2 linked regions of the Arabidopsis thaliana genome follow. The protein of the gene in region 2 interacts with the protein of the main gene of each other region in a pairwise test. Each region holds a gene or a part of one and is shown on either strand. Other genes may lie near its edges.

What was found. The genes of interacting proteins can lie anywhere in the genome.
Region 1: the proteins of SAG12 (region 2) and AT5G47590 interact in a two-hybrid assay, tested with the Arabidopsis thaliana proteins (one large-scale study listed by BioGRID).

What each region holds. Positions count from the first base shown.
Region 1 is NC_003076.8:19,296,339-19,301,054, reverse strand, and holds AT5G47590 (Heat shock protein HSP20/alpha crystallin family), read left to right. Parts: upstream 1-1,880; 5' UTR 1,881-1,955; coding exon 1,956-2,010; intron 2,011-2,284; coding exon 2,285-2,662; coding exon of another isoform or gene 2,663-2,748; coding exon 2,749-3,110; 3' UTR 3,111-3,441; downstream 3,442-4,716. Other genes in the region: AT5G47600 (HSP20-like chaperones superfamily protein), read left to right, coding at 599-653, 770-1,110; ASG7 (uncharacterized protein), read left to right, coding at 3,861-4,716.
Region 2 is NC_003076.8:18,610,591-18,615,828, reverse strand, and holds SAG12 (senescence-associated gene 12), read right to left. Parts: upstream 2,591-5,238; 5' UTR 2,530-2,590; coding exon 2,076-2,529; intron 1,804-2,075; coding exon 1,543-1,803; intron 1,396-1,542; coding exon 1,070-1,395; 3' UTR 866-1,069; downstream 1-865. Other genes in the region: APG7 (ThiF family protein), read right to left, coding at 1-106, 387-525; AT5G45880 (Pollen Ole e 1 allergen and extensin family protein), read left to right, coding at 4,763-4,940. UniProt on the Arabidopsis thaliana protein: Cysteine protease that may have a developmental senescence specific cell death function during apoptosis, heavy metal detoxification, and hypersensitive response.

The DNA.
Region 1 (4,716 bases), 690 kb from region 2:
TAAAGGCTCAAACACTCATTGGGCCGATGTATGGGCCAAATACACAAGTAACTAACATATACATACTTGTGTTTGCTATGGTACCCAATGATTCATGTCATTTGTTTTCACAAACTTTTAACTCTTTTTTTTTCCTCTAAGCCGATTGAAACAAATTGGGTCCATTGCATAATTTACCTAAAGCTAAGCTGATATTGAATATTAGTTTCTTCCATCAAATGTCAATTGTTTATAATTCATCCCCCGACAAAACTAAATGGGCCGATTCTTAGGCCCATATTAGGTGGTCACTCCGGTTGTGCTAAAAATTGTTCAGAGAAGTCAAAGTCTCCAGATTGATGTCAATTGTCAACACTCTACAAGATCACTCCTTTCCATGGAGTTCAACTAGAAGAGCTTTTCGATCAATTTCACCAAATCAGAAACAATTTCGAATTTTTAACACTCCTTGGGCCGATTAATGGGCCAAATGATAGGTCACTCCAGGCCTTTCCCAAACCCTATAGTCCTCCTCGGCTATAAATAGCAAGTGGAGTAGAGCGACTTTGCTCACTCAGTTTCCTTCCAAAAGAAAGAGAAAGAGCATCGTTTTGAGCAAATGAGTAGGAACATGGAAGTTAACGCAGGCAGTTCCGGCGAAATTCCGTCTCCAAGTAAAGTTTTCATCTTTCACTGTCATTTCTTATAAAAATCAAACCTTTATAGTTTACACGTCAAATCTCTCTTTCTAATAACGAATTTGTGTTTGTTTTATCTTATGTATGTACAGTAAGGAACCGATTTCAGAAAAGTGGGAGTCAAGCGGTGTACGAGGTGACAGAGACGAAGAAATCTTGCGTGACGAGAGTCGACATGCCTGGTTGTCCCGAGTCAGATCTCACCTACTGGGTCGACGCCAACAACGTCCACTTCTTCGCCGACGAACCAGCAATGCCTGAGTACGAAAACGCCGGACGCAAATACGGAGGCTCCATGATTTTCAACCCTGAGGCTTACGACGTCAAGAAAACTAAAGTGAAGCTTATCAACGGAGTGCTCTGGATCACCGTCCCTAAGATCCCAGGCAAAAACGCTTCCATTAATGTCAAGGAGAGGATCCTCCATTACTGATTTAACAACACCTTGGTTTGTGTCTCGTAATGGTACTTGTGTCTAGCGTCTCTATCTATCTATGAACTTTGATGCAGCTACTGCTTTATGTTTATCATTTTGTGGTTTAGTTAAGAACGATCTTGCTTCTATATGTCGTGATCTCAATAAAGAAAAAGTTGTCAGCTTTCTTTGTTCTATTTAATCTTACATTAACCTAGCTATTCGATAAGACTATATAGATCTTTGCCATTATTAAACCGGATTACGAGTATGTAACCTGGACATGTTAATAGATATATGTTGTTGTAAGTAGGGATCAAACTTTTTAATAGCGTTGTCGTAATAATTGGATAAACACTAAACGACGGTTGAAACCTTATTTGATCTTTGATGAAAAAAAAAAAGATAATTGAGAGCTCATAATTTTTTTACTCTTGAAGATTGCTGACGTCAGCGTCGTCTTGTCAAAAATGTTTGAAAATTAATGAAGAGTGAAGAGTGTGGGTACGGTTTTACTTTTGCAGTCATTTTTGTCGTACATAATTACATATAAACGAAAGGAGTAAAAAAAGCGTGGGATAGCTCACAGAGCTGGTGACGTCAGCTTATTCTCTACCGTAAAAAAAATCAAAAGAGTAAAAGCAAGTTTTTTTTCTTACCGAGAGAGAGAGTCGGTGACGTAGGCAAGACCAGTCAAACTTATGCTATGAAGGTTAAAAAAAAGCCAGCTGGAGCGTGCCACGTCACAGTCTGTACCACAAGATGGTGCTTCGTCTATATTTATCAACAGGAGAACAAAACGCCATTTTTACGCAACCTACCTTGAACTAGAAGAGAAGAGAGAGCAAAAAACAAAGAGAGAGATGGGTGAGACAAAGGCAGATTTCAGGGACATGTCAAGAATTCCTAAAGTTCGAGGTATCTCTTTTCACGAGCTACTAGATTTCCCAAGAACAACATTGTTCTAATTTTTCTCGGAAAATATGTGTTTTTTCTAGAAAGTTGTCTCAATTTGTTTACTTGTGAAGTGTTAACATGAACTTGGTACAAAGATTTACAGTTTTTTTACTGTGCATGATTCATGAAAATGAAGCAGATCGAGTTAGTTCCATCTTTGATAAGTGTCTTCCTTTGTTCTCTGTATACTTTTCTTCATCAAGTTTTGATCTTTGTTTACTTATTATTATTACAGAGGGGTTCTACGCGACGAACAATCAGTTTCAGAAAGCGGGTCCAAAGGGTTTCGTTCAAGTGAAGGTTCTGGAGAACGACAATCTCTACGTGCGTGTCGACTTGCCTGGTGTTCCAGACGACGCCGTTCGCTACAGAGTTGACGCCGTGAGACAAAAGGTTGTCTTTTTCTCCGGTGAAACTCTGAACAACGGCAAGGAAGGTGTGCGTCAGTACTCTGGAACCGCTGGGCTTGGCTGTGACTGCTGCGAGATCACAGGCGTGGATGCCAAAATGAAAGATGGAGTTTTGAGGATGATTCTCACAAGGGTCAAGGTTGTGAGCAAGGCTCAAGACAACAACAACAACAAGTGTACTCTCACTGTGCCTCCTTTTACAGGTTCGACTCATTCCTCTTCTCTAAAGTCACAATCTCTTTTGCTGCATCATTTGTTGTTAATACAGTACTCTCTGTTCTTTATTAAGGTCAATCCGGAATACGCTTGGAGGATCATCCGTGTCTGGTGTCTGGTCGCAAGGGAGCACTAATTGGGGTGACAAAAGCGGGAGGAGGGGCTCACTTTGCAGTGGACATGCCAGGTGTTAGTCCGGATGATGTGGAAGTGTATGCTGATGAAAAGGAAATCAGATTCAAAGCTGAGATCAAGGACGTGTATGAACACGATGAGAGCGGTCGAACCTACCTCGGAAGCGTCCAAAGTCCTTTTCCCGCTTTAATTTCGAACAACACCATCGCTTGGGATGCAGAATTTGGTGTTCTCAGGATTGCTGTCATACCTCCTGACGACATGACCACCATCAACAACAAAAGAAACCCTATTGAATGAATGATCTCTCTACCTCTCTTTTAGCTAGTACTCTACTATATTTTCATTTTGGGACATTGACTAGTTTTCTCTGTTTAAGTTGAGACATTGTGTGTGTGAGAGAGATTAGTCCTGCTTTTGTGTTTGCTATCGAATCAAGTGATTCATGTCATTTGTTTTCACAATCTTAACTCTTTTGTTCCCCTAAGCTGAATTCAAAAACAAACAAACTGGATCCCTCGAATAACCTGATTGGTGATGATGATTGCTCAAAACCCCCTAAAGCTGATTCCATGGAATGTCAATTGTTTATAGATCCTAGGACATTTGATCTGTCACTCAACAGTGCCTAATTCCTCAATTGAATCGAAATGGTCATGAAAGGAGTGTGATCATTTTATCAGACAAGTCAAAGTTTCTACTCTTCATCATTATTAACACATCCAGTAACAAAACTAATTGGGCCGATTATTAGGCCCATGATAGGTGGATCACTCCAGGCCTTTTCCAAACTCCACGAAAGCAGGCAGAAACACTTTCTTCCCGTGAGTTTTTCCCGGTTGATCTGCGATTCAACAGTGTCTATCCGAAATTTAGTTGAAATGGTCATAGAAGAGTGTAGTAGAAAGGTTGGAATTTGTGCTCAAAATCGGTCAGAGAAGTCAAAGTTTGCTACTTTTCCAGTCTCTAGAATGATGTCAACAAGATCACTCATTTCCATGGAGTCAACTTGAAGAAGAGCTTTTTCGATCAAATCCTTGAATTCGATTGATGGGTATCCTCGGCTGCGACGCCCATGGCGATTTGAACGATGCAGAGTTCAGCAAACCCTTACCTTCGATTGGTATCTACGTTGCCGTAGCTTCACTCATCTGTGGTCTAGCCATGGCCGCCGATCTTATACACGGCTTCCGACACCGCAAATTCTGGTTTCCCTGTAAGTTCTTCTCTCTCAACGCCACTTCTCTGACTTTCATCGCTGTCGGAATCAAACTCTCTGTGGATCTCAACACTTCCATGCCGAGTCGTCAGGATCAGTTAGCTAAACTCAGCAGCACCGTCTTTGTATGTACTGTGATGGGTAATTCGATGCCTTCTCTGGGTATTATGGACAACAATGATCTCCTCATGAATCTTATGGCTTTAGGGATTCTTGTCATCACTGATGTTGTTAACATCTGTATTCAGTTGGGTACTGGTGCGATTTATGTTTTCTCTGAGGAACATTTTCTGGTCGTACTTCTCATGCTTCTTATGCTTATGATCTTGTGTTTCTCGGCCACCACAGTTCCCACTACGAAAAGAATCTTGGAGAGTAAGTACAATAAGAGGTACGACGTTGCTATGAAGTGTCCTTTGGCTACAGAGAGAACAGTTGCTAAGAAAATTCAGCAAGATTTGTCAAAGTTTTGGATGATGGCTCATACTAGTAGCCCTCAATTCGTGATGGCTCGTTCTGTCACGTGCACTGCTTCTGGTTTCTTCTGTCTCCTGAGTGCCATTACGCTTGGTGAAGCTATGGTTAGGAGTTACTTTTTAAGACCAAGGTCACTTGGGTTCTGCCATGGAGATTCTGATTACAAATGGTCAACTTCTCTGGTTCTTGTTTGCCAGACTACTACTGTAG
Region 2 (5,238 bases):
CCATGACTAGTACTAGCAATCAATGATTGTTCATCTAAAGGCAATGACTCTGATAAAAGAGTCAAATGATTTGAGACTTGTGGATGTCCACATGGTCCATAGAAACCTGAAAATTTCAGTTCCAAAAAAGCACATAAATTCTAAATCTGAATAATCTCTACTAAACAAAACAGAGGCTTTTAAAGTTCTCAACTTTTTTTTTGCTTCTCTAACCTAAACGGATCATAACAACTTGCCCAGAAAACAGAGGATTTTCAAGTTTTCAACTTTTTTTTTTGCTTCTCTAACCTAAACGGATCATAAGAGCTCGAATGCATAGACTCATCGAATAATATATAAAAATCGATGCATTGGATGATTTTTTAATTCGATGATTGTGTGTTTACCGGTGATTGAAATCGGAGAATCATCGATTCCGAGTTTGTCGAGTTTCAAAGAGGAGAAGCTATGCCAGAAACCTTCGTCGACGGAACTGTTCAATGGAGCGAATTGAAGTATGATTGCTGGAGTTTCTTTCTCAGCCATGGCTGATCTTATCTTTCTGAGAGATTGCAATGTTTATTATGGAGGAGAGTCAATGAATGTGAGAAAGAAGAAGACGATGACGGAGAACGGTGAGAAAAAGGAGTCGTGCAAGGAACATGGTCAATCCGGGTCGGGTCGGCTTTATATCCAAGCAAACCAAAACCGGTTTATTTTAAAAAAGTAAAAAGCATTAACCGGACGGTTCGTCTTTTTCCATAAAAATCAAACTGAACCAAATTCGGTTTATTACAGTCTTCTCAGTAAATGGTTAAGAGTTTTCAAACTTCATTTTTTTAACAAATTTTCATTTTTACTTGGTGGAATTTGATTGTGCATATGCTTCAAATTATCCCTAGCTAATACCGTTGAAATTTGAAAGAAACATTTCGAAAATTATCAATCCTTTGCATTACATAAGCTTACAATTTCATAAAATGCATACAACAGTCTAAATACAATTTTTTTACATAAAACAATTCAAATTATTTTTAGACATCAATCCCACACAAACATACACAATTAAAAGCTTAACACGGTTTTGAATTCATATAGTTGGGTAAGAAGCTTTCATGGCAAGACCACATAGTCCTTGTTTATCCTTGACATCTTTTTGAATCCTCATATATCCACTTTCTCCCCATTTTGTTCCCCATGAATTCTTGATGATCCAATACTTTGATCCGTTAGTAGATTCGCCGTATCCAATCGCAGTTACTGCATGATCAAGATACGTAGTGCACTCTCCAGTGAACACACCAGACGAATAGAATTGGAAATCAAAACCACCTCCTTCAATTCCAACGCTAACCGGTTGGTGTGCCACTGCCTTCATCAGTGCTTGCTCATCATTAACCGGGACATCCTCATAACCTATGATATGTGAACGTACATGAGCTTTTTAAGATTCAAAATATGAATTTTATCTAGTATAGTAATGTTTATTAATTTGGATAATATGATTAAAAATCGGTTTAATCTGTTTAATTATTATATGCCAGCTCTTTAACTAAAGTGAACCTGTAATAGAAGTTGCTTTTGGATTGGTCTTTTTGGAATTGCAAGTAGCGTCTTCGCCTTTGTAAGGATAATTTGACTCAGTTGTCAAGCCGCCAGTCGCTTTTATATGCTCAAACGCAGTATCCATTAAACCGCCTTCGCAGCCAAAATCGTTTGTGTCGCAATCAACAAGCTGTTGTTCTGACAAAGATATAAGTTTCCCTTTCTTTATTTGTGTTGCTCCTTCAATAGCCGCAACCGCTGAAAACGCCCAACAACATCCTACAAAAACATCACTCATTAGTGTCACTATCATAAATATTTTCATGTGTCTAACTACATATCTCAATAAAACGGTATGAAACAAAATATATATAACTTAACATAGAAAAATTTAATAAAAATATGGTTATTCGATTCGGTCAGTTACACTATGGATTTGGTTTGGATCGGTTTGTTCACTATGAATTAACTCAAATTGATTGAATACATAAATTTCGGTTGGTTCAATTTGATTTCACTTATATATATATGAATAAAGATTTGAGTTATACCGCAGCTGCCTTGATTCTTGATAGGGGTCACAGCTCCTTTCTTCCTCCAGTCAACAGAAACCGGCAAAGCACCAGAAGAAACGTTTTGGTACCTAAACGGCGACATTTTAGTTTGGCTTTGGCTAGATAATGCCGAGACACCTTTGAAACCAGTGTACATGGAACGAAATTCGTCATTGGTTAAATCAGCAAACTGATTTACCGCAAGTTTGAAAGTTCTTCCGGCAGGAATGCTATTTAAATGTTCAATGCGTTCGACGTTGTTTTTGAACACAACGTAGCGATTGTTTTCCTCCTTCACATCCGCGTAGACACGGCCGTGTTTAGTCATCCACTCGATGTGCCTCTTTTGCATGATGAGTTCATTGTCGAGTGGACGAGAAAGAGTGATGGAGAAACAGAATGATGAAAATATAGCGACGAAGAGAAAGATTTGCATATGTTTTAAAGCCATTGTTTTAGGAAAGTTAAATGACTTTTGCTCTTAATTTGATTACTTCAGAAGGGTACTGAGATGGGGTTTTATAGTGAAAATAAGGTTGATGTAATTGCTAATGTTCACATGAAGTGATTGATCCAAATCAAAGCATTTTTGTTTTACAAGTAATGACTACATTCATTCATACATAACTAAATGATCGTTGATGTTTGATACGTAGCCATTTTAGTCCTACATCAACCTGAAATCAAGTCTTGTTCACTCACTTTGCTCGGATTTTTAGTTAATTTTAGTGGTGGGTTTAATTAGTTTTGTAAACATTTATATTTGATGATTAGGAAGTTTGTATCTAGTAAAATTTAATTTCTCTACTTGTGTACTATAGAGATTTTCGAAGTTGGATATGTGTTGATGATGTTTTGCATAAATATATTTCCTTATTTAATTAATTAAAATTAATATTTAAGAAAGCATTTTTAATTGACATTTCAAAAAAAAAAAATCTATCATGAGTATAAATTATTTGGAAAAAAATACTTTTACATGCTGATACGTAGTTACGTACATGTTTATTTTTCTTGTAGTACGTAGGTACCTTTCATGCATCAAAATCACTAATCACATAAAAACAAGGAATCTTCTTTTGTCTTTTCACTAATCAAATAGTTTGAATTCAAAGATTCTGTTTATTCACAAGAGAACCATTCGTGCAAGTTAAAAGCTTAATCAAATCAAAAAGAAAAATGATTCGACAAAATTAACTAATTTGATCAAATCATAGTCATTCACAACAAGTGAACTTCATTACGCTAAGTATTCTTTTGTAGATAAATCGATATGATTTGCTAAAAGTTTCCTGTTCAATGATGTTTCCCACCAATTTCATCTATCTGAATCTCTATGAAAGTTTCCCTGTCATTAGAATACAATATAAATGTAGCTCTGTAGTTAGGGATAATATAAGAAATATTGAAATAATCATTAGACGACAAGAGGGATACGTACGAAATTGCATTTTGGACTTAAATCCAAATCATATTTGGCTGAAGTGATAACGTCTAAAATACTAAATTCAAAATTGACAAATAACTGCATATTTACAAATATAATGATTAGAATTATTTTATTATAGTGATATAGTTAGTTTTCTTACACAAAGAAGAAGTAAGACATATTCTTGGATCTTCACATGGTATTTAAATAATTGTAAAAACGTTATAAACTTATAATTGTCAACTGGAGTATATAAATAAATAATATATGAATTCTTGTACAGGGAAAAATGCGGTGTAAATACCAAACTTTACGAAGCGTGGCAAAAATGTTATAAAAAAAAAATCTATAAAACTTTGTTATTGTGATGTGAAGGAATCGCCCTAGTCAACAAATTAAATCACAATCACCTCATGAACACAACTGATTTAACTATATCAACTTTTTCTTGAACCAAAGGTACCAAGTACAAACTAATAACGATACGAGTTGTCAGTTGTGTACCAAGTTTTTACTGGCAAATAAATCGACTTGCTACCAAAGTACCAACTAATACGAGTGTCTCTGTTTTGTTAACTTGACCCAATCTTTCTTCCTCGTCTCTTTGCAAAACGCTTAAGCCCAAATATAACTAATATGGCCCAAAATATTCTTGAGAGATCCAAACCTATAACTCGAATACCCGGTAGGACAAAACGCTTCATGTCATATTCTGACACTTTTTAACACTTCATGATCGGTATTTAAATAGCATTTTCATTTCTTGTATAACAACTGAGTTCATATATATACATCATTGATCATATATTGAGTATTGATCTAACTAATTCATAATCAACTATTCAACTGTTTTCATTAAAAAAAACAAGTTTCGTATATAAAACTTGGAAATATTGTTTTTAATTAATTTGAACGTACATTGTTATGGGTTCTTCTAATGTTAAGAAAACACCAAAGAGAGAAAAAAGGGTGGTCAAAAAACAAATTTAGAAATCAATGCTATAATTAAGCTATGATAAACTAATCATTTTTTTATCGAAACGTAATGAAACTAATTTTAAATTTTAACAATCAACGATTTTACTTTTTTGTCTCAGTCTAAAAATAACAATCGGGTTTCTAATATAAAACAAACTCGGTGCTCCACGAGAATAGTTGTCCTCTTCTCAAACATATCTCAACTTATTGTTTGAATATAAAAAGAGATATCAAAAAGAAGAGAAGACCAAAAACAAAACAAAAATCTCTAATAAAAATGGCTTCCAAAGCTATCTTCTTCTCTTTCTTTGTCGTCTCCGCCGTGTGTTTGTCTTCTCTGGCAGGTTTCGCCGCCGCTGATGCTGACGACTTCGATCGTTTCCAGATTCAAGGATCAGTTTACTGTGACACTTGCCGTGTCCAATTCGTTACCCGTCTCAGCAAATTCCTCGAAGGTAACATATTTACGCACGTATATCTATGTTTCTACACATGTATGTGTGCATGGCTAATTTACAACGTGCAACCGTTTCTTTTTAAGAGAATATTTTCGTTTAATAAAAAAACTTATCATTTTGAGATGGCCATACATGCATGCGCACGCAAACTATCTTGCATGTTAGAGCCTAGAGGATGCAAGCACTGTCATAAAATAAATATATCAGTTTCTAAATTCGAATGAGAGTATTGCAATGTCCTTGACTACATTTTTTCAAATATTTCGTAAATCAGCTTCTAAGATTAACATTGATC